3 linked regions of the Ovis aries genome follow. The protein of the gene in region 1 interacts with the protein of each later gene in a biochemical or structural test. Links are inferred from orthologs where the notes say so. Each region holds a gene or a part of one and is shown in the gene's direction. Other genes may lie near its edges. The genes, in order: RRAD, PRKACA and CAMK2G.

Region 1 (10,259 bases):
AAGACTTGCCAGTCCATCTGGTGGGCAGAGCCTTCTAGAGGCCTCAGCAAGGAGCCTGGGCCCTTGGCAAATCTGTTCCTGGGGGCCTTCTGACGATATTGAGCCTGTCCTGAGAGTGGGCATTGGCAGAAGCCTTGATATATAAGTACCTAGATGGCCAATTCTTGAGCCAGCCCTGTGTGGGATTCTTTCTTATCTCTATTTTGCAGGTGAGGAAAGAAGCTTCCAGAATAAGTAAGTGACTCCCAAAGACCTCCAGTTAGAGTAGAGGAACCTAAGTTCAGCAGGTACTGCTCAGCTGGCAGGGGGCGCTGTTGCCTGGCTGGAGGGGCCTATGCTGTGCTAAGCCACTTCAGTCCCGTCCCACTCTATGTGACCCCATGGACTATAGTCCACCAGGTTCCTCTGTCCATGGGATTCTCCAGGAAAGAATACTGGAGTGGGTTGCCATGCCCTCCTCCAGGGGATCTTCCCGACCCAGGGATCGAACCCTCATCTCTTAAGTCTCCTGAATAGGCACACAGGTTCTTTACCACCAGTGTCACCTGGTTTCTAGGCAAGAGTGGCTTTGCCACCCAGTGACCAAGATCTGGCTGCTCAGAGAGGTAGAGCCATCAGTCCACGTCACCCAGTTCCTTCATGTGTGATGTGGGAAATGGTGACAACAGCTTAGGACTGCTCTGAGGGGATTGCAAGTGGATCTAGGACCATTTCAAGTGAACTTCCAGGCAGAGTACCCACCCTCCCATTTCCACAGATGAGGCAGCTCAGTGCTCCAAGAGAGGCAGGTGACCAACCTCCCAGAGTCCCTCAGGCCCCAAGGAGGCTTCCCAACCACCAGTACCCAGCTGTAGATTTCACTGCCTGTGTACCTCTGCAGTGACAGCCCGGATCTGTCTAAGATCTGTGGTGTCTCTGTTCAGCTGGGGGTGGGGGGGTCACAGGGGAGACAGGTGTCACTGAGTCATTCAGCTGGCCCTCCTGGCAGCCAGGCCACAGTGGATGAGGGACACCAAGCTGCTCACATCCAGCCAGCCGGCATATCAGATATCCCCTTTTCAGTTTTGACTCATCTGGGCCTGGCCCCCAGCTGCCTGCAGTGACACCATTTGTGAATACTGGACTAGTGCCTGAGTAACTTTCTGGAATCCCAGCTGCTATCTGCGAACATGGGGATGGGGGGTGGGGTGGGGGGGGTGAGGTGGGGGAATGAAGTTTCAGGTCCCTGAAGCCCTCCGCCAGGTGTGTCTGGCTGTGCTGTTTCTGGCCTATGACTTCTCAGGCCTCGGTTACCACGTCTACAAAATGGGAACAACAAATCATAGCTAAGTGAGACCAACCCAAGGATTAGAGGACACATATGAACATGCCCAGGTCTGTCCATTTTTGCTCATCATCCTGCCCAAAGCGCAAAGGCCTGGCATACAGTTAGGTACTTAGTACAGGTCAGTGAAATGAGTGAATGAATTGGGCCTTAGAACAGAACAGAGGAACTGGGGCATGAGAGCTGTGGTGTGAGGAGGGGTGGGGACACTGAAATCCAGCCAAGTTCCCTTTGCAGCATTTTGCTCTCCCAGGAAGGGGAAGGGCATAGGGTCCCACAGAGAACATGTGAGTAGTGGGGAGAGGGGAGAAGTATCTGTACCTGCTGCTGTCCTGGGCAGACCACTGTTGTGGACAGAATGGAGCAGGAGCAGGAGAGAAGCAGCAGGAGAGGGCCGACAGAGCCGCTCAGCCTGTCCTGTCCAACCAAGGGCGATAATAGAAGTGTTCATACTGAGATATCGATAATACTATATGCCAGACACATGCCAACCAGTTTACCTCTGAATTTCATGTTATTTATACCTTTTTTTTTCTTTTTTGGCTGCACCATACAGCAGGTGGGGTCTTAGTTCTCCAACCAGGGATCGAAACTGTACTCCCTGCATTGGAAGCATGGTCTTAACCACTGGACCACCAGGGAAGTCCTCAGATTATTCATATCTTATAACCACCGTCATGTAGGCATTATTCCTGTTCTACACAGGAGGGAACTGAGGCTCAGCCAAACTAAATGGGCAGAGGTGGGATTTGAAGGGCAGGCTATCCTGAGGGTGTTCTTGCGTCGGTCTGTTCTTCTTAGGCAGCCAAGCTCAGCCCAGAGAACTGAGATGACGGAGAATTGGGGGTGTTTCAAGGGCATGTCCTGGTATGGTTCCTGGGGCCCCTGGCCATACTGATGCATGTTGGGGAATGCTTGGGGCCTGAGTGGCCCAGTGTGGATGCAGTTCCCTTGGCAATGAGGAAACACTGCTGAGGTCAAGAGCTTAGATTATCAGAGGGGAAACCCAGCCCTAATTCCTTACATGACCACAGCTACCCCCCCAACACCCACCCTCTGTTGGACATCCAGGGGCTCTTGTCAGCAGCAAGGTCATGTGTAAGGTGGTTAGGAGGGGCCGTGAGCAGCCCAGCTGGGACTCCTGACGGAAAGTGGTTTGCTGGCTCTTGGGACTTCTGTTGTTTGTTTGTTTGTTTTGGCTACACTGCATGGCATGGTGGGATCTTAGTTCCCTGACCAAAGATCAAACCCATGCCCCCTGCGTTGGAAGTGCAGAGTCTTAACCACTGGACCACCAGGGAAGTCCCAAGACTTTTGTTCTTCGACAGGAGGCTCAGCCCATGACTCCGTCTTCCCACTGGACCTGGTCCAGGAAGCTAGAGGCAACATGGGGTTGCCCAGTCCTCCAAGACCCCCCAAGCCATGTGAAGGACACAAATGGATAGACCACCCCTCAGTTCAGGCCTTGCTTGCTTTGAGGACGTCAAGAACTAGAGGGGCCTGCGTGAGCTCTCTAACACTTACCTAACCAGACCCTGCTCATTCCAAGGCCATTTCAGATGTTGCCAAGGAAACTGACGCAGCAGCCAGAGAGCCCTGACCCCGGTCTCCATGACAACCTACAGCAGCCCACTAGGATCCATCCATTCGTGATGTCACCTGAGCCCTGAATGGGTGCCCCCCACCCCCATCACACCCCTCGCAATCAAACGTCAGTCTAATAGGAGGTCCCTACCACAAAGTACCTCACAGCTTGCCTGCCCCCGGTCCTCACACACCCCAAACATGAGCAAGGCAATAATAGAGGGGCTGGGATAGAATAATAGAAGCTGGGAGAGAAGCAAAACCTAGGACCCTGGGGACAGATTTAGGACTAGAAACCAAGTCTCTCCATTACATCTCCTCCCCTCTGTGCCCCAGCATCCTCCCTGGGTCTGAGGAGGGGCAGTGGTGGCACCAAATGGTGGCTATCCCATTCCCAACCGCCTGACCCCATCCATGTGTGCCTGCACACTCAGTGGCTAAGTCGTGTCCAACTCTTTGCGACCTCATGGACTATAGCCCACCAGGCTCTTCTGTCCATGAGATTTCCCAGGGAAGGATACTGGAGCAGGTTACCAGTTCCTTCTTCCCAATCCCTAGGGTTCTTCCTGAATTGTAGGCGGATTCTTTATCACTGAGCCACCTGGGAAGCCCGATCCCATCCATGCTCTATAACTATGAACCTCCAGACCCCAAGTATGCCTTGAATTATAGGCCCAGTCTGAGACTAAAGGGAAGGAAGGAGACATTGAAGACTCAGAATGACTGGAACCAGACCTGATCCGGTCTAGTCCCACCCCTATCCGCTCCTGCTGGTCTCTGACACCTGCCTGCCAGGATTTCCCTAACTTTGGGCAACCTCCAGGCCAGGAGCCCAATGAGCAGGTATTTTTAGCAGAGTTGCTGGCAGCTGCCTGGAGGGTGCTGAGGGGGAGGCGGTGCTGAGTCCATCCTTTTCCTTCTCTGGGCCCACATTCCCTCTTCAAGGTTCAAGCTTGCACCTCTACCTGCCCCACACTGCCAGAGGGCCTCGCTTCCCCACCCCTTCCCCACAGGCCTCTAAGGGTCCCCTTGGGGGCTTAGGTATCACTAACCCTCATCTCAAAGGGCAGGCTCATCAGGTAGAATCGTCAACTCCCAAGGGCAGGTTTGAGAGTGGGAAGGACCTGGGGTTGAGGTTAGAAGCTTGGATTTAGGGCCCCAAAATAAATGGGTGTCATGGGCAGTGAAGGGTGAAGTCTGTGGACCTGTAACTGGTCTGCTTGCTTGGGCAACAGGCCAGGACTGGGAGAGAGGGAAGGGAGAAATCACTTTTAAAGGGCCAGACCTAAGTCTTTCCTAGTGGGGACTTGGCCCACTGGGCTGATGGGGCTCCTTCCGGCCTTGCCCGCCCCCCAACCCGTGATGGCGCTCTCCACTCCACCTCTGTCCCCCTCCTCCTCGTACCACTCACAGACGCCCTCTCCTTCTTCTTTACCTGCCCTCCACCCACCCCCAATTCTCTCTCTCTCTCTCTCTCTCTCTCTCTCTCTGTCACACACACACACACACACACACACACACTCAGACTGGGCTTTTGTCTTCGGGGTCTGCCCCAGCCCCGCCCTAGAGAGTGAGGCGAGGGCTGGGTGGGTGTGAGGTCCTAGGAGGAGGGTGGGGGATTCCCCTCGGGGGAGGGAGACGGACACGTCAGCCCCCGCACCGCACAGACGGGGGCGAGCGCGGGGGGGGGGGGGGGGGGGGGCGGGGGCGGGCAGAGGCTTAAATAGGCAACTCTGGCGCCTGAGCCCAGAACCGACTGAGAAGGCGGCGGCTGCGACTGGTCGAGTGTTCGCGCCTGGGTCTACGGGTGGACTGTATCCGAGCCTGGTACCTACCTAGTCCTCACCGTGTCTGAGTGGGTGAGTGTCCTGGCAGAGCGGGGTGGGGGTGGTCTCACCGTCTGAGATGGACGAGCCAGGAGAGTGGGTCACTTGTCAGGGCGCAAAGACCTTCCGCGGCAGGTCCTATACCCCGAGCACCTTTCCTGACCCGTGGTCAGGCAGGCGTGTCCCGGGTCCAGCCTCCTACTCCATGTCCACCGCGGCTTACGCGGCTATCCGGATTCCCGTTCCCCAGACGGCGTCCGACGGGATGACTCTGAACGGCGGCGGCAGCGGAGCCAACGGGAACCGCGGCGGGGGCCGGGAACGCGATCGCCGTCGGGGCAGCACACCTTGGGGCCCCGCGCTCCCGCTGCACCGCCGGAGCATGCCGGTGGACGAGCGCGACCTGCAGGCGGCGCTGTCTCCGGGCGCTCTGACAACGGCCGAAGCCGCGACAGGGGCCCAGGGTCCGAGGCTGGACTGGCCCGAGGGCTCCTCCGACTCGCTCAGCTCGGGAGGAAGCGATTCAGACGAGAGCGTTTACAAGGTGCTGCTGCTGGGGGCGCCTGGTGTGGGCAAGAGCGCTCTGGCGCGCATCTTCGGAGGTGTAGAGGACGGGCCTGAAGCTGAAGCCGCAGGTGAGGGACTGGGAGGGACTGTTCGAGGGAGGGGCGAACACAGGATTAGGACTGGGGGCTGCAGGACTGGGGATCAGGGTTAAAAGCAGCAAATACCAACGGAATTCTGAAGGTGCTTTGAGAATCGCGTCTGCCTCCTCCTTTCACAGATGGGGAAACTAAGGGGGAAGGTAACCTAGCCTTTAGTAGGGAAAGAAGTGCTTGCAGTAGAAGACCCAGGTAATATGTTTAATTGTTCTGTAGTGTGAGGACAGGATAGCCCTCCCTGCCAGGACCCGGGAGAACACAACCAGGAGAGTCTAGGAGAGGAGTCCTAGGTAACCAAGGTCCCCAGGGGCTGTCTGTTCTAACTCGGGCCACTGTGATCAAAACTATCCTGGGTCTCAGGGAACAGAAGGGCAGGGAGCCCAGGAATGGCCACCCAGGACATTGTTAGCTTGGGGAAGGGGTAGCTAGGTGGGGGCCTGGCACATCATGCCCTTCACCTGCCCCCCCCCCCCCCCGCATTTCTCAGCCCTGTCATTTCTGTTACTATTTAGCATCTATCGGTGGAGGAGAAGGTTGGGGGGCTTTGGGGAGGAGTTGAAGGGTGTAGCCAGAATAGGACACCTGATGCATTGAGGGGGGGGCGGGTTGTGGCAGCCAACAACTAACCTGACTACTGGTCTCCTGCCCAGGGCACACATATGACCGCTCCATCATGGTGGACGGAGAAGAGGCGTCACTCATGGTCTATGACATTTGGGAGCAGGTAGGATTCAGGCTGAGACCCAGGGCTGGGTGAGAGGGGTGAGCTGGGGGTAGGGACCTGCTGGGAATGACAGCGTTGTAGCTGGGGCGTGAGGACGATTGGGTAAATGTGTCTGTGTCCCCTAGGATGGGGGTCGCTGGCTACCCGGACACTGCCTGGCCATGGGAGATGCATATGTCATTGTGTACTCAGTGACTGACAAGGGAAGCTTCGAGAAGGCCTCAGAGCTGCGGGTCCAGCTTCGGCGGGCGCGGCAGACCGACGACGTGCCCATCATCCTAGTGGGCAACAAGAGCGACCTGGTGCGCTCTCGCGAGGTCTCCTTGGATGGTGAGCAGGGAGCTGGGTTGGAAAGGGAGGGAGATCCTGGCTTCGCTGTGGTCCACTCAGTCTTGACTCAGCTCGAGTCACTGGGGATCATCAGTGGCTAAAAATGTCCAGGAAGAAAACTCAGAGAGATGGGAGAGCTTATGCCCTCCCACAGGTCTCCCGAGTCCTGAGTGCTGGGGAAGGGACCAGATGCACAAGAGGAGATAAAAGCTGCTAGACCATTTCAGAGCCCTCCTTTTTTGTCCTCTTTGTCCCTGGCCTGGCTGATGAGGGGTGAGGAGAGTTCAGGGACTCAGGCCGGGAGGCCAGAGCCTGGATTCCAGGCCCAGTCCAGTTTCTGCATAGTCTTGACCCTGGAAAGAACCCGTCCCCCAACATTGGGCTCAGCATCCTTTGTGACCCCCCAGACCTGAACCCCACAGAAGAACCAGCAGTGACTTGATGATGTCCTCCCCCCATTCCCCGTCATTCATCATGATATAACGGCAAGCCATAAAACACCATGCTGTCCAACAAAGTTGTCATTTTTCTGCATTGACTACTACAGCACTACTGTTTAAATATCAAACTCCAAATTATTTTGATAAATGAGTCTCCTTGTGTGGGCCTCTGTGAGCTCCTTAAGCATGGGCAAGCTTTACAGCTGGGTGACCCAGTGATGCCTGGGCCCCTCCATACACGAGCCGGGGTTCATTGTGTTCCTGGGGAGGATCCAGGACTCCCTTCCCCTTCCCCACGGATAGCTGCCAAGGTGTGGCCAGGGTTGGAGTGGGCTTCTCACCCACTCACCTTTTGCTTACTGATGTGTGCCTGTCCCCCACCCTCCACCCCTGCCACACATACCAGAGGGCCGGGCCTGCGCCGTTGTCTTTGACTGCAAGTTCATCGAGACGTCGGCTGCGCTGCATCACAACGTCCAGGCGCTGTTCGAGGGTGTTGTGCGTCAGATACGCCTGCGCAGGGACAGCAAAGAGGCCAATGCGCGTCGTCAAGCGGGTACCCGGCGGCGAGAGAGCCTGGGCAAGAAGGCGAAGCGCTTCCTGGGCCGCATCGTCGCTCGAAACAGCCGCAAGATGGCCATGCGTGCCAAGTCCAAGTCCTGCCATGACCTGTCTGTGCTCTAGACCCTGGGGCACTTGCTGTATTGTGCAGACAGATGGGCTGATTGGTGGGCTGGCCCAGCCAACCGCCCAAGGTGCCTCAGAGCTGGCTCAGACTCTGGGTGTCCCCCACCTCACGGTCATGGACAGACAGACAGACAGTGCTGCCCAGGGAGGCGGCTCCCAGTGGCTGTTGGGCCCATCTCTGCTGGGCCCACTGAGATGCCTGTGCTGGCCCGTGTGCATCCCAAGCAGCAGGCTGACCCCAGCCAGCCCTTGGGGACAGGCCTGTGAGTGGGGAGAGGACTCTGCCTTTCCCTACACCCTGGTGTGCATGCCCTGGAGGGAGGCTGTTCAGTGCAGTGGCTATTTGTTTACATGCAGATTTTTGTAATAAAGACTATTTCCCAATAGGCCAGGGCTGGTGACTCTGTGTTTCCTTTGATTCTGGGGGCTGTAGGAACAGGAAAGTTTCCTTAAGTTCAGGAAGGGGGCTCACTGCCCCACCGCAGTTTGTGGCCTTAACTATTCTAATGTTAAGAAGGGGCAGGTGTGGATTGTGGTCTGGTTGCAGGGGTAACAGGGTGGGGGGTGGGGGTCCAAGCAGCAGGAAGAGACATGAATCTCACCCAACCTATTATTTAGATTCTTCTGTACTGGGGCCTGGCATTGCCCAGCTGATCAAGGGTTCAATCACTGCAAATCCATACCAGTATCCTTGCCTGGAGAATCCCATGGACAGAGGAGCCTGGCGGGCTACAGTCCGCCAGGGGAAGGGGAGCCTTCTGGGCACAAGTGCCTGCTTGGATTTACCATCATGGTTTCAGGAGTGAGCATTCCCATTCAAAGGGTTGCAAAGATTCGGACATTACTGAGTGACTAACACATACTGTATGTAAAGGAAATTGAGGCTGCCCAAGAGACACGTTCTGTCCCCGGGTGTCATGGCCAAACAAGATTGCTGGGTCGGGTCTGGCTCCTGGGTGGTTGTCTCTGCCCTGATCCCTCCTGAGAGGCTGGAAAGCTGCTAAGGTGGTGTGACTGAGGAAGACTTCCGAGACTCCCTGGCTGGAGAAGGAGGCAGCTGGTTTGTTAAGGCTGGGGTGAGGAAGGCACAGGACCTCCCCAGTGGCTCAGTGGTAATGAATCTGCCTGCAATGCAGGAGCTACAGGAGATGCCAGTTTGATCCCTGGGTGGGGAAGATCCCCTGGAGGAGAGCATGGCAACCCACTCCAGTATTCTTGCCTGGAGAATCCCGTGAACAGAGGAGCCTGACGGGCTACAGTTTACAGGGTTACAAAGGTCGAACACGACTGAAGCGACAGCACACGTGCATGCACAAGAAAGGCATGCTCGGGGGACTTGACTCAGTGTGGCTTCCCACCTCCTGGCAGAGGCTGGGTTGCTAGGCAGGAAGTGGTGGGGGGACAGGGAGGGCCATTCTCCCCACAGAGTGGCCACACCAGAGGACTCCATGTTCGGCATTGCCTAATGTAGGAGCAGGTCCCTGGGGCCCTCCTTGCCTGGAATGAGAGGCCTTGCATTCTCGTGTAAACGTGTGCATCTTTGCTGATAGGTGGAGGTGTGTATCTCCCCACCGCCCGCACCTTGGAAGGGGAGCCTTCTGGGCACAAGTGCCTGCTTGGATTTACCATCATGGTTTCAGGAGTGAGCATTCCCATTCAACAATGGCAGATGGGGGACAAAGCACTTACCTGGGGCCCCACGGGCAGAAGTGGCTGAGTGGGGACTGGGAGCCCAGAGGCAGGCAGGGGCAAGGCTGGGGATGGTTTCTGAGAAGGTTCCAGGCCGGGATCCAGATATTTCTATATTAGTCAATTTTTTCAGGGCTCCTGGGAGCCCTCAGAACTTGGTGAGAACTCTGACTGCGGTTGTTCAATAGCAGGTGGAGGTTTGAAAGCCGTTCCTCAGGCGTGTGATCCCCGTGACTAACCCACATGCCCCCCAGGGCAGCTCAAAGCTGCAGTCCCGCTCCCAGTCTCAGCGTACTTCACCAAGGCAAAGGCGGGCATGGTTTCCTCAGAGCAGGTGAAAGTGCTGAGGCCTGAAGAAGATTCCAGACCTTCCGAGCTCTGTCACTTATTGGCTGTGTGACCCTGGGCAAGTCAGTCAACTTCTCTGTGCTCCAGTATGTGACATGGGCACGATGCCCTTTTCAGAATGGAATGGGTGGAATAATGACAATATCTGCTTAGAGTAGTGCCAGGCACATAGCTGGAGACCCCTCTCATGTGACGTGAGACCCTTTCAACATTCCCACGCTGCACTGCTCCAGGCTGGGGTGCCCAAGTGACCTGGAGGCAGGAACTCAGCTTGTGATGGACAAAGTTGGGGTCAGCTGAGGGGTCCTGATCCAGCCTTCTAGCCTGAGAGAAATTAACCAGATATGCAATGGGAAGGACTCCAGGGAAACCACAGGAAAGATTGGAGACCAAGATCCTTGACCTTTCCCATCCTCTTCCCACCACTCCACACACTCAGGCCCTAGGAGCTTCTCCCGACTCTTCTAGGCTACACCAGTGGGGGAAGGGCCTCCCGTCAGCCCTGCAACTCCCTCAAGGTCACCTGAACTGGCTCAAACTCCTCTCTCCTCTCAAAGGCACGAGACAGTCCATTGTCCCAGCCCTGTCTGTGTCCAGGGGCTAGTGTGAGCACCTAGGGAGCCTCAGGGGTTCTCATGGGCTGCT
Region 2 (10,210 bases), on another chromosome or scaffold:
TAATGGAAAATAATCTGAAAAATAATATAACAGTCACCTTGCTGTGCACCTGAAACATTGTAAGTCAACTATACTTCAATAAAATATATATATTAAGAAAAAAAAATAATGATAAAATTAAGATTAGATAGGCCCCAGCCCTAAGTTGTGGCACACAGGCCTTCCCTGGAGTTGCACGCATATTGTTGATGGTAATGGAATAAGCAAAGTCGGTTCTTCCTGGGCTTTGGGAGGGGGTCTGAGAGTGCACTGTTTTCTGGGAGAACACGAGGGCATGCTAACGAGGGTTGGTGTTCCTTTTCCTACCCCAGCTCCAGCGGAACATCTTGGCCTCAAACCCCCGGGTGACCCGCTTCCACATCAACTGGGACAACAACATGGACAGGCTGGAGGCCATAGAGAACCAGGACTCTGCCCTGGGCTGCGGTCTCCCCCTCAGCTGCACCCCCATTAAGGGCTTGGGTCTCCCTGGCTGCATCCCGGGCCTCCTCCCTGAGAACTCCATGGACTGCATTTAACTGTGGGACTCCAGGCCCTACTTGGGCCCAGCTGGGACCACGGCCAGTCTCTCCTGGCACATCTGGAAGGGGCAGCCAGGCCTCCCGGAGAGCATTAGGAAGGCCACATGGAGGACTTTGGGGCCATCAGCTATATCCAGGCCAGACTCGGCCCCCAGGAAGGAAGGGGCTTCTGGTCTTTCCTAGCCCTGGCCCAGAGGGTCATCTCCCCTCTACTGCCCAGGCCTGAAAGAACCTGGTACTTCAGTTCTTAATTCTTTCTGTCTTGTGTCCTTTCTCTCTTCTACACACACTATATATTCCACCTGCGGGCCATTGTGCCACCGTCATCCCAGGAGTGCCACTGACCCAAAACTTTTCCCACAGACCTCCCTGGCCTGCCTTGAGGCTTTCTTGGTCAATGCCTGGCAAGGCTCCAACCCTGCTGGGCCAAAGGCTCTGCCATTCATTTCCCTTCCCAACCATCTGAGCAGAGCCACCCAGCTGCCTGGAGTCCCAGGCCAGGAGTCTTGGTAGAAGATAGACTCGGACACAATTTCTGTCCTTTTGCCAGGATGATTTTTTAAGACTTTTCAATTCAGCAGCCCTCTGGAAAACTCTGTTCCCAAAAAGGTGATCAGCAGGATGCTGAGGTAGATGGCTGACTCTCCTTTGGGTCACAGCCACCTTCCTCTTGCCTCCCAACTGGATCTGGCTTTCCCTGGAGGCTGCCCCTTGGAGACGGTGGTGCGTTGGAGGGGCCTGCTGTTCTGTCTCAATATTGGTGTCAGGACTCCTCTGCTTCTGGCTGCCTTGGTCTGCACTCTGCCAAGACCTCATGTTCTCAGGCCACAGTGCAGACCAGGGGAGCAGTAGGGACCCTGAAAGCCCTCCTTCCCCTGCCATGCTCCTCACCCTCACCCCTGTTCCCGCGCTGCTACGTGGATGCTGTTGTGATTGCAGTTTGTGTATTAAAGGGTTTTTATATTAAATGTTTGGTTGATCTGAAAATAAAAAGCACTTCATCTAGATTCTTTCTGCTTTTGTCTCCAGTAGGCTGAGGCGGTTTTGTCTCTCTCTCCTCATGATGGGGGCAGTGGGGGGGGCCCTCTTGCCTCAACCAGTAGGTTGACTGCCCCTTTCTCTCTTACTCGCTTCTTTTTATTGTCTTGTCATAGTTTTATTCCAGACTGAGGTCCAGGAAGATTCTTTTGTCAAAACTTAAGCAACCCAGCTGTTCTGTAGATAGAGCATAACCAGTGATTGTTCAGACTTGTCATGACCTTGACCCACCAGAAGAAATTAGCATTGCTCTCTGAGGACCCACATATCAATACGTGTATTAAATTTTACTTAAACTTACTTTGTAACTCCACATCCCCAGGTGAAGTGGTGAGCCATTTCCCCATAATTCACAGGAAAACCCAGACTTCTCTCCTTGAAACGAAGGTGGACTTAGGAACATGGGTCTAGATGGCTCCTGGGTGGGGTGTACAGGTCATACCAGTCCAGGCTCAGAGCAGCCAGCTGGCTTGTAGAACTGAGACCAGTCAGCCTCCCCAAGCTGAGGGAGGCTAGCTCATCCAGTTCCCTGCCCCTGGCATCACTTCCTGTTTGGGCTTTCCTCTACCTCAGTGGTTTCAACTGGGCAGCAGTTTTGCACCCAGCCAGGGCACATTTAACAATGTCTAGAGATGGTTTTGGTGGCAGGTGGCACTAGTGATAAAAGAACCTGCCTGCCAATGCAGGAGACTTAAGAGATGAGGGTTCAATCTCTCCCTTAGGAAGATCCCCTGGAGAAGGAAATGGCAACACACTCCAATATTCTTGCCTGGAGGATCCCATGGACAGAGGAGCCTGAAGGGCTCCAGTCGATGAGATTGCACAGAGATGGACACGACTGAAGCGGCTCAGCATGGCAGAGATGGTTTTAGCTGTCACAAGTAGCAGAAGAAAAGCAGGCTCTACTGGCATGGTGAGGGGGGTGGGGGGCGGCGGGATACTGCTGAACACTCTACAATGTACAAGGCAGTGCCCCACCCCCAGCCCAGCATAGACTGAGCCAGACCCGAATGTCACAAACGTGGCGGTGGGAAACTGACCGTCCTCACTCTGTCTGTATTTAAAGGCGACCCTGAAGGAAGAGGGGCTTTCCAGGTGGTAAAGGATCTGCCTGCCTTTGGAGGACACACAAAAGACGCAGGTTCAGTCCCTGGGTTGGGAAGATTCCCCTGGCAGAGGAAATGGCAACCCACTCCAGTATTCTTACCTGGATAATCCCATGAACAGAGGCGCCTGATGGGCTACATTCCATGGGGTCACAAAGTCGGACACGACTAATTATGCACGCACGCACGCTGAAGGAAGAGGCATCTTGCTACTCTGTTTCAGGAGATAAGGTTCCTTTTGCACTGCCCAGAGGGAATCCTCAACCTGGCTGTGCCCCAGATTCCTCATCTGTAAAATGGGAATGATGATAATAATACCTACGTGAAAGGAGTGTGGTGCGAAGTAATGTATGTAACAAGTGCCAGCTCTTACTGGCATGAGGCCAGGGTAGGCACCCAGCAAAGAGGTGTCTACTGAGGGCCCCACTCCCAGAGCCCAGCATCCTCCTGAAGCTCCTCCAGCAGGGTCCCATCCTGGACCCAACCCTGCTGCTGCTATCCTGCGCCAGGCCTTATGAATGACGACGGCCGGCAGCCCGACGACCTATGACCCGCGGCGCCTGCCGCGCCCCTCCCCCGCTTGGCAGGTGGACAGCGGCTGCGCCGGGGCTGGGGTTGGGGGGGCCGAGGCGCCAACCTTGGCTGGCCCGCAGCCGCTGCCGCACTGAACGGGGGCGGGGGACTGCGGCGCGCACGGGGCCGGGCGAACGCCTGCCTGGACCGCCTCCTGGGCCTCGGAGCGCTGCGCGGCCGCCGGCCAGCGGCCGCCGGCGCGCCGGGGCAGCAGACTGCGCCTCCGCCCCGCCCTCTCACCCAGGGATTGACACTGAACGTTCTGCCGGGGCTTGCCGGACAGCGCGCCTCCACCAATTGGTATCCTCGCTGGGCGGACCCCGGACCCTGTCGGAAGCCTCCGCCAATCAGACGTGTTAGCCCGCCCGGTTGGGGTCTCGCAAGCGCTCGAGTGGCCAAGCGTCCTAGGAGCGCGTCATGAGGCCGAGAGCCTATGGCAGCGCGGGAGGGTCGCGAAGGGCCAATGAATGGCGGCGCAGCGCCGTCAGTCAGGGCGGCCTAGGCCAATGAGCTGCGGGCTGCGGGGGCGTCACGGACAGCAGCAGCGGACTTGGGCTGAGGTTCCCGGGCGGGCGGGCGCGGAGAGACGCGGGAAGCAGGGGCTGGGCGGGGGTCGCGGCGCCTCAGCCAGCGCAGCCAACCCGAGGGGCCGCCGCCGCCGCCGCCCAGCGTGCTCCGGGGCCGCGGGCCGCCTCCAGCACCCGCCGCGCCGCAGCTCCGGGACCGGCCCCGGCCGCCGCCGCCGCCGCGATGGGCAACGCCGCCGCCGCCAAGAAGGGCAGTGAGCAAGAGAGCGGTGAGTGCCCGGGCCGTGACCCCGATCCCGGCCTCGCGCTGCCAGCCTCCTCCCTGTCCATCACTGCTTGGCCCCTCCCCCCACGCCCCCCCCCATTTCTCTCTGCTTACCCCCAGGCGCCCCTTCCCCCTGCCTGTCCAAGGTTGGGGCCCGGGGCCCGCAGAAGACCTCGTAGGAACCCCGTTGCCAAAAACCGCCCCTCCACTGCAAAGACTGTGCTCCCCCCTCAGCTGTCACTGCCAACCATGGCACGTATGACCGCTGGGCCCCCACATGGGGCCCTATCACCACCCCACTCCGTACTTTCCTGGCCCCTCTCCTTAGGTTCTAATCCCCCCCCACTTCCTCACTCACCTCTTCCACAGATGAGACTCACTGCCAAACCCCGACCCAGGCTTCTGCCAGCCTGGGAGTGCTATGGGGTCTGCCTCCGCCCAACAGGGACCTTGGCCACTTGGTGACCACACCCCTACCCCCTCCAGCCCCCGCCATCTTTCTCCTGCCCTTCCCCTCTTCACCTTATCACAGCCCCTCTTCAAACCCACCCTTGAGCATTTCCCAGAGCCACTTCCAGCATTGTTTTTCCCTTCTGTGTCACTTGGCATGGGGGACAGGCTCTTTCTGGGTCCCTCTGCCCCTCTCTCATCCTGTCACTGTCACTGCTTCTCTGCTTGTGCTTCCTTCTCCAAGCAAGCGTCTGTCCCTGGCCGGGGTCGCACACTGTTTGTGAACCTAGAGAACTGCTTCTGTGCTTGCGAAGCCAGGTTTGAGCCAATCGTGCTGGAACTCCATGCGTCCTCTTCCTTGGCTTTGGGGGTGAGGGGTTTCAGCAGAGAGCCCCTTCCCATCTCCTGCTGTGCAGTGAGCTCTAGGCTCTTTGGAGGGCCCCTCAATAAATGGTTGTGTCACAACTGAGGCTTGATCATTCACCCAGTCCCTCAGGCTTCTTTACCTGCTCCTGGCTTGGGATGAAAAGTAGGGGATTAAGAGTGAGTTTACCAGGGCTCATTCAGCTAGAGCTGGGATGGTGAGAAAGAGGACTCAAGGGATGACAGTTAGGAAGAGTAGTGGGTGACATCTAATGACTCGCTTTGCCAAGAGACAGATTCTGATCATCCCCAGGGTTCACCCAGAGGTGGCCCTGTTTCCACCTTAAGCCCCCAAATCATATAGGCCTTTTCCAGCCAGCCAGGGAAAGAGATTCTGTACCTGGAAATGCCTTCAGAAATGGTCTTGAGCTCCTTCCTCAAGTCATCCAGCTCTCAAATTGTCATCACTCCAGCCCTAAAGTTGGGCCTCAACTAGGATCCTTTTCCAGTTACCCAGAAATAGAGTTGAAAAGGAATGGCCACATCCAAATATGCCTTTCCCAGTTATTTGTCTCAGATCCCAGTGTCTGAGTTCCCTGAATGCTCCCTCCCAGAAAGACCCAAGCATGGAAGCCAGGGAACTTTATTTCCACCCAGATTCAAATAGCAGAACTTATAGCTGCTGAGCAGCCATGGAGAAGCCTGACATGTCACTGATGGGCGGGGGAAAGGGAGGCAAGTGCCTGTAGCTGAGCGCTTGATGACAGAGGAGCAGGTGGGTAGTGACCAAAAATGGTCTGGGCATGAGCTTGGAGGGGATAGACAGAAGGGGAGGGGCTGGGCCCCCAGCAGGTGAGGCCCGCCCAGAGGTAGAAGGTAGAAGCAGGCAGTTGTATATTTCAGTGACTCAGTTGAAAGTTGGGGAGGTGCCATAGTCCTGGAAAACTTTCAAGGCGTATCAAACACATGCAGTGGAGAGAGGTGGGGTGGCAAAGCCACACAGGGAAAAGGATTCCCAAGAAAAAGATCAGAAGCTCCAGAAGGAACCGCTAATTCAGAGTACAGGCTGGACAGCCAGGAAGGGACTATCAGGATAAAATAGAGCCACTATTTACTGGGCAGCTAGGATGTGCCAGGCTAAATGGTCTTCATAGATCTTTCTGCTCAAGTGATTTTTCATAACAGGCTGTTACCTGAATTTTACAAATGAGCTCTCTGAGTTTGACATAGATGATGCCACAGAAGCAGGATTCACATCCATTTCCATCTACCAGCCAAATTCCTGGACCCCAGAATTTCCCAACTCAAAGCTGCCCCCCTGATTTTTCACTATATTCACTTCTATTTTGTTAACGGAAATAAAAATTTTGACTCACTTTTGTTCAGATGTAAGTTTTGATCTGTCCTGAGAAATAATATAAATGAAATCATGGGATTGCTATACCAGTTATATTCTCTCTGGTACACCTTAAGATACAGTGTAACTAGAAAGGCAAAATATCCTTAACATCAGTTCGTCCCCAGCCAGTGGGACCTGGTTACACTTTGGGAAACACCCTAAGCTGTACTTCCTTCCAGAGATTTGCAGGGGCTGTTGGAGAAGGAGACAGGATGAGTAAAGAAGCCCTTTTTTGCTTCAAAGCTCCTATTCTGAGAGGATGGAGTTAGGCAAAATTTGCCCTCTCCCGCAACTAGGATGGGGTGGGGGTAGGGATAGTAGCCAGGCCAGCCTTCAGGGGGCACCTGAATTTCATCTGCCAGACATCAGCCCAACTAGAGTAAGGAAAGTGCCAAACCTTAGTAGGCACCATTTGGCATCCTGGAGCCCCCTGTGCTGCCGTCTCCATGCTCGGGCAGGACAGCCTTGGCCTCCTCTCAAGAGGGCAGGAATTTAGAACCAGCCCGGGGATGGGGTGGGGGAAAGTGTTAGTCACTTATGTCAGACTCTTTGCCGTTCCATCGACTGTAGCCCGCCAGGTTCCTCTGTCCATGGGATTCTCCAGGCAAGAATGTGGGAGTGGGTAGCCATTCCCTTCTCCAGGGGATCTTCCCGACCCAGGGATCGAACCCGGGTCTCCTGCATTGCACGCAGATTCTTTATCATCTGCGCCACTAAGGAAGGGGGAAATCTGTACTCAAAGATGCCAGAGCCACTGGCAGTAGCCTGAGTATGATGCTAAGAGGGCAGAGGAAAAACAAGAGCAAGCCCAGGGCTCTGAACAAGCTAGAGGAATTGAGAGAGGGCAGTGGCCCCAAGAGGCCCTGGGGACGGGTGCCAACTGGGGGTCCAGCCTTGGCTGCCCTGGCCAAAAAGGTACTCCTAAGAGCTGGTCCATGGAAGAAGGTACAGGACTGGTAAGAGGAAGCCCTCCAGACCTCCCCCAACCCCTACCCCAGGTCCCAGAGACCAGAAGATTCATGCTCTGAGAATGAGAATTGCCCCCAAGAGGTCCATGCTGCTGCTGCTAAGTCGCTGCAGTGGTGTCCGACCCTGTGCGACCCCATAGACGGCAGCCCACGAGGCTCCCCCCATCCCTGGGATTCTCCAGGCAAGAACACGGGAGTGGGTTGCCATTTCCTTCTCCAATGTATGAAAGTGAAAAGTGAAAGTGAAGTCGCTCAGTCATATCCGACTCTTAGCAACCCCATGGACTGCGGCCCACTAGGCTCCTCCATCCATGGGATTTTCCAGGCAAGAGTGCTGGAGTGGGGTGCCATTGCCTTCTCCGCAAGAGGTCCATAGATGGGAAGAATTGTGGCCTTCATGACATACTACAGAAGCCTGAGAGGGCCAAACACCGTCTGTGCGTTGGCAGTTGTACAGGTGCCCAAGAGGGTCCTGCCAAGACAGTTTTTCCTTTAAGTCCACCTGGGCTTAAAGAAGCTTGAGGGTTCTCTGCCCCTCCCCTGCACCTACTGGCCCCCAGGTTGGGTTTCTTTTCCTGCCACTACCCCAATACTCCCTGGCTCCCCCTATAGGCAGGGCTCTGGTGATGAGCAGCTAAGCTGGTGCAGCAGGTCTCATGAGCCTTCCCAGCCACCGTAGTCCGGGTGCTTTGAGAGGAAGACTGAGTGATGGCTTCCAACCCCAACGATGGTGAGGCTGAGCCCTGTTGCTATAGCAACTTCCCAGGCACACTCTGACCCTCAAGTCAAGGAGGGATTACAGTAGAGTTTAGGGAGCAAGTGGAGAGGAAAAGGCTGTGGACCCCTGACTGGCCCTGGAAACCCTTCCTAACCACCCTGAGTGGAGATGGGTGGTTTAATTCAGACAAGGGGGTGGGGGGTGGGGTGGATGATCCACCCAGAGTGGGGATCTGACCCAGACCCAGGCAATGGGGTAGACCAGCTCAGTGATGGCATTCAGCTCAGAGTGGGGGGTTGGTCCAGCTCAGTGATGGAGTCCAGGTGGTACTAGGCAGTGGTCCAGTCCACTGTTGAGGTCCAACTCAGACTAGGGGGTGGCTCAGCCTAGGGCTTGGCCTTCCTGTCGCAGACTTTCCAGGAGGAGTCAGTTTCAGGGAACAGGGGATCCTGAGATTTTTTTTGGGGGGGAGGAGGTCTGAGCCTGGGATCCTGCCTCCTGCTGGGGCCCTGGGGGCTGTTTTCCCTGTGAGCCCAAATGGAATCTAGACCAGGGTGGAAGCTGGTACCCCTCCTGTGGGAAACAGGAGCAGGCCAGGCCTACCGTCTCCAAAGACAGCAGCTAGCTGGGTTTCCCTTCTCTGCCACTTCCTGTTGTCAGCAGGGGCCGAGGTTGCCGGGCACTCCCGGGAATAAGTAGCTGCCACTGACCCTGCACTTACTTTTGGGGATCTGGAAAGAAGGAGGAAGATGGTCAAAGCTGCCTCCCCCTCCCCCACCCCTGGGTTTAGCGTTTCGTTTCCGGTTTGGACTTTCAGGGCTGAGAGCAGAGCCAAGCACAGGGCAAGGTTTGACAGAGGCCAAGGACATCCCGGGATGCCATGCCCCTCTCCGCCCCTGCACAGGAGCAGGGCTGAGTTAGTGTTACCCATTCCTCTCTCAAAGTAGCCAAATTTGAGGGCTCTAGCTTCAAAGAGCACTTGGGGGAGGAGATAGGGTGTTTCTCACTGCCCCCCCCCCCCACTCCGCCTTTCTCTCCAGCTGCTCTTTCAGCTAATTAATGGAGTTCTGGGGCCTCCTTGACCCCCAGGGAGGCCCTGGCTGCTGCCTGGGCCTGAGCCTTAACTCCTTCCCCTCCCCAGTGGGCACTGCCCTGGGCACATTGGATGCCATCCTCTGGGCAGTCTAGCACCCACTGAGAAAGGCAGGGCCTGGCAGTGGGGAGCAGTGAAGTCCCTGGAACAGGAAGTTAGCTTTAGCACCCCGCCCCCAGGGCAGGCAGGCCAGCCAGGAGGGACACCCTCAGGAGACTCTTCCCACCACCTGTTGCCAAGGAGGGCCTTTACCAACCTTGGCCAGCTGGGAGCAGGTACCTTTAAATGCTTCCCTAGCAACCAGCTCCTCCTCCCCTGTCCACCCCCACCCCGAGGCCCTCCCAAGAAAGTCAGCTCAGAGACTCTGCTGTATTCCTGGTTTCCCTGCAAAGGGAACGTTCCTGGGAGAGTCAGGGCGGCCTGGGATGGATCCGGGGTCAGGCAGAGGCTGGGATGGGGACTCAGAGACCACCTTCCAGCTGTGGCTGCAGCTGCTTCTCTGGGGCCATCTGATTGTCCGCTTCCTGGGTTACCTGCGCCATACCCTCTGGGCACCTAAGCCGCAACCAGCACCTTGAGCCTCCCTGGCCACGGGCAGATGGGCCCCTGAGCACCCCATCCCACTCCACTCCCTGCCCTTGTACCCTCTGCTGGAAGAGGCAGGAAGCAGAGGTAAGTATGGGGACTCCTGGCTGGGTTTTCCCCCCATCATTATTCCTCTTTATCTGCCCTCTCTTCCTGCCACTGCCACACCCTGTCCCTCACCCCCAAATCTGGCAAGCTGATGAGAGCGCGCACAGCCTGGTCCCTCCCGCACTTTGGAAAGGCCGGAGCAGGGCTGTCAGGATCAAGGCATCCTTGTGGAGCCTCTTAGGGGGGTAACAACAGACAGAGACGCCGACCCACCACGTTGGGAAAAAACAGGATGTGGCATTTCTCAGGGACAACTGAGAGGAAAAGAAGAAGCAGGACCTGCTTTTCTCCTGGATTCCTCTCAAATGCACTCCTCTCTGCCTTCTTGGGTGGGTGACGGTAGAGTCCCAAGAGGGTACTTCACCCCCCTGCCCCCCTGCCCACCTTCATCCAGAATTCAGCGTGTACGTTTGGAGGTTTCCAAGGAAGGTGTCGTATGTCAAGAAAGATTCCGCTAGTGAAACCCTTGCAAGCGGTGCAGCCCCCAAGCTCAGAG
Region 3 (9,579 bases), on another chromosome or scaffold:
TGAAACAGCTCAACTAAGTGTTAGGTATTATAATTTGGATCTTTATTATTGCGAATCTGCTAGGTTGGCACTTAGAGTGGTGCAGTCAAGTTTCTCCTCTTGTTCTCAGCCCCCTGTTCATTTTCTCTACAAATGGAAAGAGAAAGATAGCAGTCTTGCTCAGTGATGGAGCCTTCCACACCTGTCCCTCCTTGCCTTGGCGGTGCCTGGCCCTGGGACCCACACCAAAGTGGAGCTCTGGGCTGGGTGGCCTGGGAGGACTAGTCTTCCCTCGCAGCTCTGCTCAGCTGACTCCCCTCCCAGTCTGCTCACACCTGGACTCTGTGTGTGGTCTTCATGGGGAAGGGCAAGTGCCCATGACTCCCTGTCTGCGCAGAGGCATGGGTGCCTGCCCTTTTTGCCCTTCTGGGCTCGGGGCCGTGGGGGCGGGGTGTGTAGGTCTGGAATCAGGGTCCTGGGGAGGACAGCCAGGTGCCAGGACTATCCCTGTTAGCACGGTGCCTGCTGCCCTGTTAGTGCCTCCTGCTGCTGCTGTTAGTCACCTCCCTAATGAAGCTCATCTGTAGCTTCTGGGACAGCTGATTTCCAGGGGATTATTTGTATTACACACTTTAATGCGTTTTAATAGCAAATTTTTAATTAAATGGAAAGTCCTTTTGGAAGCAAGGGAGCAGCAGCTGCAGCAGGGCTCAGCGTGAGCCACCCATTCCGGCCAGAGAAGGCAAGTCAGGAACGAGGGCGGCAGGGCTTTGGGGGAGCTCGCCTGAGCGCGCCTGGGTTAGTGAGGGGGAGCGGGGAGGCAGGGGTCTGGCTGTAGCTTCTTCATTCTGTCACCCACAGGCCTAGAGAAGTAGGAGCTTGCTTGTTCGCCCAAGTACAGGAGAGAATCATTTGAGGAGGAGGGGTTTTAGGAGTACCACCCGCCTTTGATTCCATTGGTAAATCGCAGAAGTACTGAGTTCTGGTGGAATTTTGAGGTTGAGTAACCAGATCAGATCTAATAACGTCGGCAGGATGAAGCATAAACAATTGCTGGGCCCTGGTTCTCGCCCTGGCAGGCCCGAGTCCTCATCTGTCGAGTGAGGAAAAGCACAGGGCTCCAGTGATGGCTGAGGGCCTGGATTTTACATTCAGCTCATCTTGCTGTGGGGCACAGGGGAGGCAGGGAAGTGCCTCAGTCCTGAGGAGACACCCTCGTACTGGAAATGAAAGGTATCTTTTGAGCTGGTGGGGGCCTGACACACTAGAGATTTCTTTGTATCTAAGAACTTCACTGGTCGGTTTGGTGTCAGGCCACTCCTGAAGTGCTCCGTGAGGAGCTCCTGGAACTGCGTGAAGGTCAAACAGAGGGAGCCCTTTGGGACACAGGCTCTCCATGAGTGCAGGTGAGGGAAGGGACCAAGCAGGAGTGTTGATCAGAGCAGAGGTGCGTTTGCATTAGAATGATGCTGAGGGGGGTGTTGGCATTTTAACCCCCTGAGGTGGCTTTGTGGGCAGAAGCTTAAAGAGGAGACCTCAGCAGCATCAGGTTGGGCTCTTGCCCAGGAGCTCTGGAGGCTGTGAGTGGGAAGAGATTCTGCTCACCAGCCTTTTCTTTCGCCTTTACTGCAGCTCCATGCAGTAGCCTCCCGTCCCCATCTTGTGGGCACATTCGTGAGCGGTTTCTCTCCAGGCTCCACTGCTTTGTCGCCTGGGTGTGTGGGCTCCTCCACATTTCTTGTAGGAGACAGTGGTATAAACCAGTCTTTGGAGTCAGAAAGAGCTGGGTTCACATCTGGACCCACCAGATCTTTGGCCTTTGGCAAGAAACTCTATGCCTTTGAGCCTCCATTGTCCTCATCTGTGGAATGGGAGAAATACTTATCTCAGAGTGGTCATCAGGAATAATAAACTCCTTGAAGTAGACACTATGTCCTTCCTAAATCCTACCATCTACCACACACAGTCAGCACTCGATACATACTTGTAGCTTAAGTAATGTACGCAAAGAGCCTAACTCAAGGCCTGGCACGAAGTCAGCACTTAATAAATGGTTATTGTCATTGCCTGAATCCGTGTGTTGCCTGCTGGGCTGTGCCTTTGCCGCTTCTTCCCCTGCCCCTAATTCTTCTGCTCCCATTTACTCCAGGGTCTCCCCTCCTGTCATTCTCTGTCCCTCTGAGGTCTGCATCCCTAGGTGCTTCTTGCTCTGCACATCACCCTTACACGTCACATCCCAGGACCACCTTCACTGGGACCAGCCCCTCTTGGAAGAAGGTTCCTGCTTTTCTCCATCCTGCCTTACTTCTTAGCCACAAAGCTTCTGTCTCTCGCCTACATCTGAGGCAGTCTGAGATGGCGACCCGAGCCCTGGCCCTGGGGTCTGGTCATCTCTGCTCTGTGGCCGCATCTTGGACCCAGGGATGCTGGGCATCTGCCTCTTCTTGGGAAAGAGCCAGTGGGGCTGACAGGATGGGACAGGGCTGGGGTGGCCAAGGAGGAGAGGAGCAGGCTTTCCAGGTTTTCTCTCTGTTAATCTCTGTCCCCATCTCCTCTCTTGCAGTACGCCTCCATGACAGTATTTCTGAAGAAGGGTTTCACTACCTCGTGTTTGACCTGTAAGTGCCACTTTCTGAGGGTGTGGGGGTCTTTCCCTCCAGCCGGCTCAAGAGGAAGGCTGGGAAAAAAAGCCCTACACTGGGTCTTCAGCCTCTGCCAAGGGTCCCTCTCCTTTGCTCGTGGCTGCTGCTAAGTCACTTCAGTCGTGTCTGACTCTGTGAGACCCCATAGACGGCAGCCCACCAGGCTCCCCTGTCCCTGGGATTCTCCAGGCAAGAACACTGGAGTGGGTTGCCATTTCCTTTTCCAGTGCATGAAAATGAAAGGTGAAAGTAAAGTCGCTCAGTCGTGCCCGTGGAGAGGGGTTTGATTTTGACCATCCGCTCGGAATGAGCAGATTGCCGAGGGTCTCCTTGCTCACTCAGTGTTTCCCCAGGGCTCTGACCCTGGGGTGGCATTGCTCTTGCACTTTCTGTTCTGCAGCACACCTTGTGCAGATGCTTTTCCCCCCTTGTTTCTCAGTGTGTTGTCCTTAGTGGAGATACACAACGTAGCTCTTTGCCTGACCTTAAGAATTCTGGGAAATTGAAGGCACCTTTTATTAGTTAGTTGTAAACTGGGCTCCCATTGGTCTCTCCCACTCTGGTTGTGGTTTAATGTCTTAAAAGTGGTTCTTCACCTAATGGAAATGCCTCTCTGGTATTTTCAGGGTTGGGTCTCTGTGTCCTTGGTCTCACTGTTCTTCAACTTCAGTAGTAAGTCAGTCCTTCTTGGGCAGCTGGATCTTAGTATTCATTGGTCTCAAATAAAGCTAAGACTGTTTGAGTAAGTCAGTTATTTTCTCTTAACTGCCTGTACATTCATCTCTACCAGAGTATTAGGTAATCTACAAATTATAGACACAGAAATGTGCAGGGGGTGGGGAGGGCTCCCATTGTCCCAGGAAGAAGCTCCATTTCATTGAAGGATTGGTGTGTTCTGAGCTTGCAGACGAAGCACACGTAGAGTTGCCACGTCTGTAAAAGCCGCTGTGCAGTGTGGCTGTTGGTTGCTTGTTGGATGCTGCCTCCTCTGACCCTCTTTGTTGGTTGCAGTGTTACCGGCGGAGAGCTGTTTGAAGACATTGTGGCCAGGGAATACTACAGTGAAGCCGATGCCAGGTGAGATGAGGCCCTGAGGTGTAAGTGTGCCTCTTAACCATCTTAGGGGGCAGGGCATTGTGCCTGTTGGAACCGTCTTTGGGAGCGGTCAGAAGAGCTCTTACCTGGACAAAGATTCTGTAGGGTTGGATTCAGGCTACATTCCGTGGGCATGCTTAGAAGTTAATAATTCAGCACTCCCAGGTCAGTTTTCTGCAAAGCTCTTACAAATCTCTTTCACCCTGTCACACCAGAAATGCCTTTCCTTTGCCCCACTGTATACTCATGAGGGCCCTCCCCTATCTCCACTTTCTCCTTCTGACAAATTCTACTGCATACAAGGCATCCTGGGAATGATCCAGAGATGGGGAAAACATGGTTTGTGTCCCAAAGGAGTGTAAACGTCTGGGTTAATAATCCAACCAGGGAACCTCCTGGGAGATTTCAGCCACTATCACCTTGTGTCTCGACCACTAGGACCAGCTTTTCAGGTTGGAAAACCATTCCTCGGCCACACCCCTCAGCCCCCAGCCCTCTGAGAAACCCTGGCAGCTTCTCCACATGACACAGCAGAATTCCTCCCACACCACAGCTCTTGGGCACTTGTTTGGCCTGCCTTTCCTGCCCCGGCTCCTCCCCCACCCCAGATCTTTTCTGAGGGTGATGTCCTGACAACCTGATTTTGGGTGTCCTGCCTGCAGCCTTCTCAGGCATATGTGCCAGCTCTGGCTGCCTCTGGGGGCGTGGAGGGGGAAACAGCTTCCTCACAGATTTCTCAACCCTCAGAGGCCAACGTTCGCTGATCAGCTTCAGATGCTTCAGCCTCAGGAAAAATTCTCAAGTGGGAGATGAATTCCAGTGCCAGCAGGGGAGGACCAGGCTCTGGGGCGGTGGGGGGGAGGAGGCGGTGATAGCTCAGGGAGCCTGGCGGGGAGGAGGGGGAGCTGGGGCGGGTGACGGTACCAGTGGGCTTGGCCTGGCTCTGCTGGGACACTTCGCACTTTTGCCATTTTTGGCCAGAAGGCTCTCCCTGCTAGCTTGGCTCTGTTCTAATTATATATTTCTGTGGAGACTCGCCTCTTCAGCTCAGTCTTAAAGACTCTTCGGCCTACTCTTGGACCATGTCCTTATGGGGAGGCCTAAGCCTCAGCCTCCAGGAACCCAGCGAGACACTTTGGCTCTTGTGGAAGCCCCAGCCTCAGATTTCAGAGGAAGGAATACTGTCAGTCCAGGTTACTGACGTTCGGGCCGGATCATTTTTGGTCGTGAGGGCCCCTGTTGTGCGTTATAGGTTTAGAAGCATCCCTGGCCTCTATCTGCTAGATGCCAGTAGCACCCTCCCTCTCAGTGGTGACAACCAGCAGTGTCTCCAGGTGTTGCCAGATGTCCCCTGGGGGGCCGAAATCATCCTCTGGTTTTCTCCAGTGCCCTGGACTCCTGGTGCACTCCACTGGGAGTTGACCACAGGTGTGGAGGATGGTTTGGAAGGTGGGTGGCCTTTGAGAATTTGAGAATCAGCAGCCGAATGTGACTCTAGGCTGGTGTGTCTTTTCCTGTGCAAAAGCATGATGAGAAATGCTCCTTGGGGTGCCTCTTTGAAACTCTCTTAAGTGTCTTGTTTCTCGATGATGCCTGTGTACTCATTTCTCTCCCCTGCTAGATGATAAACTTCAGGGCAGGCACTGGGTCCCCTATACAGCTGGTGTGATACCCAGCCCAGTGCTTATAGGTGCTTGATAAATGTTTCCCTACCCCCAAAACAACTTGGGCTTGGTTGGACTATCCTTCCTTAGTTGCCACCACAAGCCTCTTCTCCAAGAACACAGTTACTATAGGGGGAAAGAGGAAGGAGGAAGGGGTTGGATGGTGTCTCTTTCTCAGGAGTCTGAGGTATTCTTCCTTGGAAACAAATTGGATATGTTGAGCCTTCACAATCTAAGGAGGCTTGGTGGACCCTGTTCTAGTCTGTCCTCTGCTGTTATCTAGTGGAAGACCCTGGACAAACCACTTAGTCTGCTTGGGCCTCAGTTTCCTCTTTGGTAAAGTAGGTTGAACAGATGGTGTCCAAAGTCCGAGGTTTTAGCTCCTCATTCAGTGATTCTGTGTGAATCCGTTAGCCAGAGTTAAGTGCTTTAGTCTACAGCATGTCGTCGTGGATGGTTTTACCCTGCACTGACCTTTCTTTTCGTGCTTTTGCAGCCACTGTATACATCAGATTCTGGAGAGTGTTAACCACATCCACCAGCATGACATCGTCCACCGGGACCTGAAGGTACTTTTCTGCCCGGCTCCCCTCTGCCTCTTGTTTGTGAACCACTGGCGCCACCTGGCGCCAGATGATAGTACTGCATGGTCCCAAGCTAAGCTCCCTTTGGGCTGTGGGATTGGTGCCTCACGAGGCTCTCTGTCTTCCTTATACAGCCTGAGAACCTGCTGCTGGCGAGTAAATGCAAGGGTGCTGCTGTCAAGCTGGCTGATTTTGGCCTAGCCATCGAAGTACAGGGAGAGCAACAGGCTTGGTTTGGTAAGAGTGACCCTGTCTTCCTGGAATGCAGCTCCCGCCCTTCCTCCTCTTCCTGATCTGCCTTCCTCTTTCAGAACTACAGGCCAGACCCTTAATGGTCCTGGCCTCCTCAGAGACTGGAGGAAGGGCGGGCACAGAGTTCCCCCTGGCCCTCCGTGACTCAGTACAGTGAGACTAGCTGCTGTCAGCACTGCGTTTTTGCTGCCTCCGGGGACAATGGAAGTTCCTTTAAGGCACATGTATTCGCCCTCTGGTTTAGATTCCGGGCACTGCAAGAAGCCCAGCCCGTCGTCTCTTGCTGCCCAGGTGCTGAGAGCTTATGTAGCCAAATCAACAGGAGTAAGAAGGGACTTGGGGAAAACTGCTGATGTGGATTTAATGAGAGAGAAAGTGGGTTCAGTGTGCCTCCGCTCTCTCTTCCGCTACAGGTTTTGCTGGCACCCCAGGTTACTTGTCCCCTGAGGTCTTGAGGAAAGATCCCTATGGAAAACCTGTGGATATCTGGGCCTGCGGTAAGCCCATTCCACACACTCAGCTTTTTGGTGTTAAGGGCGCTCAGCTTCCAGCGATGACAAGAAACAGGCATTGCTATTCCCTGCGGGTCCCACAGGCATCTGGTATATGTGAAGTCACAGCATTTGCTCTGGTGTCCCCCGGGATGGCTGTTCCCTTCACAACCTCCTCCCCAGCTTCCTAGAAGATGATGTCTCCTTCTCAAAAGAGGGATTTACCCATGCCTTAGTGGGTGGGTTGTGCCTGAAGAAATCCCAGACATGGCGTGGTTATGTGGGGTGTGAAGCACAGTGGCACAGCATTGTCGGCTGCCATCCACCTCTCTCTCTGGGATGGTCCTTGACTTTCTGGGTGGCTCGGAGCCCCATGTGGCTTTTCTTGGTTCTTCAGCAAAGCAGGTGACTGACCCCAGTGACCTGTGTTCTGTCTTGTAGGGGTCATCCTGTATATCCTCCTGGTGGGCTACCCTCCTTTCTGGGATGAGGATCAGCACAAGCTGTATCAGCAGATCAAGGCTGGAGCCTATGATGTAAGGACAAGTTTGTTCCTGCCCCACTGTCTAGGGGAAGGGGGTGTGCTGAGTGTGTTGCAGGGTGTGGGGAGTTAGGGATTTTGAGGACCATATAGGCCTCAATTCTTGTCACCACCTGTCCCAGGGAGCAACTTTTTTGCACAGCCATTGTTGGTGGCTGCAGAATCAGGGAGTCTACTAAAGCCCTTTGTTCTGTTATTTGCAAAGAATGGTGTGGCTGTGTAGTGTGCCGTGTGACATAGAGATGAGAAGTATGGCGGCTCCTCCCACTGCGGTGGGGCCTTGGGCACAGTGTTGAGCAGCAGGTTCCTCCTTGTAGGGAGATGGAGTTGAACCAGATGTCAGGGTCCCCTGATATGATATTCTGGCATTCTAACCATGATTGTTCTGTTTTTCTTTCCCAATCTTTAAGTTGACTCCTGGGATACCCAGTGCTTAGCCCACTTCATGCTAGGCAGCTTTCGATAGTTAACCCTGGTTACAGGGGGTATAAGGTGCACAGATTTTATATCCCTCCTTCTCCTGTTCCCACTTCTTAGTTCCCATCACCAGAGTGGGACACAGTGACTCCAGAAGCCAAGAACTTGATCAACCAGATGCTGACCATAAACCCTGCAAAGCGTATTACAGCTGACCAGGCTCTCAAGCACCCATGGGTCTGCGTAAGTGTCTTCTCCTGAGGTCAAGGAGATCCAGGATATCAGCTCTCAATGTGCTCATAGCACTGTCTTTACCCTCCTTCTTGTGACTAGAGAATAATCACGTGGGGCCTTGAGCTAAGACGGTGCAGAGGGGACAGGGGACTGGGTGGAGCCCAGGGGCAGCAAATGTCACCAAGAGAAGCCAGGGAAGCTATTGTGACTAACTGACCTCTCCCTGACCTTCCCCACTCATTTGGCAGGTATGACTTAGTTTTGCTGTTGAATGAGGGCTTAGGTTGACCCTTGCAGACTCTAGTTGATGACAGAAAGCAACCAGCAGAACTCAAAAGTAAATTGCCATGCCTAGAGTGCATATCCAGATTCCAAATAAGACAACTCTAATGGGAAGGTGACGAGACCCAACAAATAAACAAAAGGGGCCTGTGAGCAATGAAAAAGAGCTCCTGAAGTTCAGTCACAAAGCTCATCCTAGAAGAGCCCCCAGGCTATCGATGTGGGTCATCATCATGCTCTGTTTTTGTGTAAGCTTCTATCTGGCTGCAATATCTTTTTTCAAACAGGGTCTGCTATAGTCAGGCCTCCTGACAACCATGATGCATGTATTCATTTGTTCTTTTCCATGTTTACTGAATGCCTCTTTGGTGCTGGTCCCTGTGTGCTGGAGATACAAAGATGAATAAGGCCTGCTGCCTTCCCCCACAGATCTCAGAGATGATCTGGGGAGACAGGCACTCAAGCAGGCAACCAGTCTGCAATGTGACAAGTACGTAAAAAAAACCTAACGAGTGTATAGGAGCCCCTGCCATCTCTGGTGGGCAGTGGGATTGCTGAAGGTGTGGAGGAGGTGAGCTCTGTCCTGGTTCTTAGTAGATTACTGGAAGTTCCCCAGGATGATAACCTGCAGACTGAGCTTAGCACGGGCTAAGGTGAGAGGCCATGGGGAATTACGGCAAGATTAAGGAATGTTAAGCAGTTTGGTTGTAGATGAAGGTAAGGCTGCAGGAATATAAGAGAACGAAGCCAAAAACGATTCCAGTGACATACAAGTTTCTGCCTAAGGAGTTTCGGTGTTACTCTAAAAGCGTAGGGAACCATTTAAGAGTTTCAAAGAGGGAATGAAATACGCAATTAAGAAAGATCGCTTTGGAAGCTGTGTAGAAAATGGAATTGAAGAGGCAGGGGCAGAGAGAGCTAAGGAAGCTGTTGTGGTTGTCTAAGCAAGGCCAGACAACGTTTCAGCTGAGGGTAATGATAGGATAGGTGGTGTGGCAAGGAGTGGACACATTTGAGAGACAAAATAAGAAGGACTCTGTGACCAACTGGATTTGGAAAGTGAAGGTCTTTTGAGAGAGAGATCTGTGGGAATTGCCAGGTTTTGAGTTGGTAACTGAGTTGGAGGGTTGTACCATTCACTGACCCAGAGGAAACCTAGAGGAGGAACCCTTTTATGAGAAAAGATGATGATTTTAGTTTCATACATGTTAAGTATGAGGGCCTCCAGCTGGAGATATCTCGTGGGGAGTTAGAAGTATGGAGAAGTTAAAAATCAGAAATACAGGTTGTGGTCATTTCTGTATGGATGGTGTTGGGGCTATAGAAATAGATGGGATTGGTTCTCTGCTAGTTGACTCCTTACTGTGAGCTGTTGTAAGAGAAGATACGGCCACCAGC

The links.
Region 2: of the proteins of RRAD (region 1) and PRKACA, one has a biochemical effect on the other in vitro, tested with the Homo sapiens proteins (2 studies listed by BioGRID). The link is inferred for Ovis aries from reciprocal best matches to the Homo sapiens genes RRAD and PRKACA.
Region 3: of the proteins of RRAD (region 1) and CAMK2G, one has a biochemical effect on the other in vitro, tested with the Homo sapiens proteins (2 studies listed by BioGRID, with this or other methods). The link is inferred for Ovis aries from reciprocal best matches to the Homo sapiens genes RRAD and CAMK2G.

Annotation. Positions count from the first base shown.
Region 1 is NC_056067.1:34,191,891-34,202,149, reverse strand, and holds RRAD (GTP-binding protein RAD), read left to right. Parts: upstream 1-4,656; 5' UTR 4,657-4,767; intron 4,768-4,984; 5' UTR 4,985-4,999; coding exon 5,000-5,369; intron 5,370-6,046; coding exon 6,047-6,120; intron 6,121-6,245; coding exon 6,246-6,450; intron 6,451-7,296; coding exon 7,297-7,574; 3' UTR 7,575-7,966; downstream 7,967-10,259. UniProt on the Homo sapiens protein: May regulate basal voltage-dependent L-type Ca(2+) currents and be required for beta-adrenergic augmentation of Ca(2+) influx in cardiomyocytes, thereby regulating increases in heart rate and contractile force.
Region 2 is NC_056058.1:9,911,032-9,921,241, forward strand, and holds the start of PRKACA (cAMP-dependent protein kinase catalytic subunit alpha), read left to right. Parts: upstream 1-3,978; 5' UTR 3,979-3,988; coding exon 3,989-4,034; exon of another isoform or gene 4,035-7,918; coding exon of another isoform or gene 7,919-7,940; intron 7,941-9,390; exon of another isoform or gene 9,391-9,446; coding exon of another isoform or gene 9,447-9,599; exon of another isoform or gene 9,600-9,693; intron 9,694-10,210. Other genes in the region: histone chaperone ASF1B, read left to right, coding at 312-518; SMIM46 (small integral membrane protein 46), read left to right, coding at 9,447-9,599.
Region 3 is NC_056078.1:28,951,489-28,961,067, reverse strand, and holds part of CAMK2G (calcium/calmodulin-dependent protein kinase type II subunit gamma), read left to right. Parts: intron 1-2,542; coding exon 2,543-2,597; intron 2,598-3,632; coding exon 3,633-3,698; intron 3,699-5,876; coding exon 5,877-5,949; intron 5,950-6,098; coding exon 6,099-6,201; intron 6,202-6,629; coding exon 6,630-6,713; intron 6,714-7,148; coding exon 7,149-7,243; intron 7,244-7,785; coding exon 7,786-7,908; intron 7,909-9,579.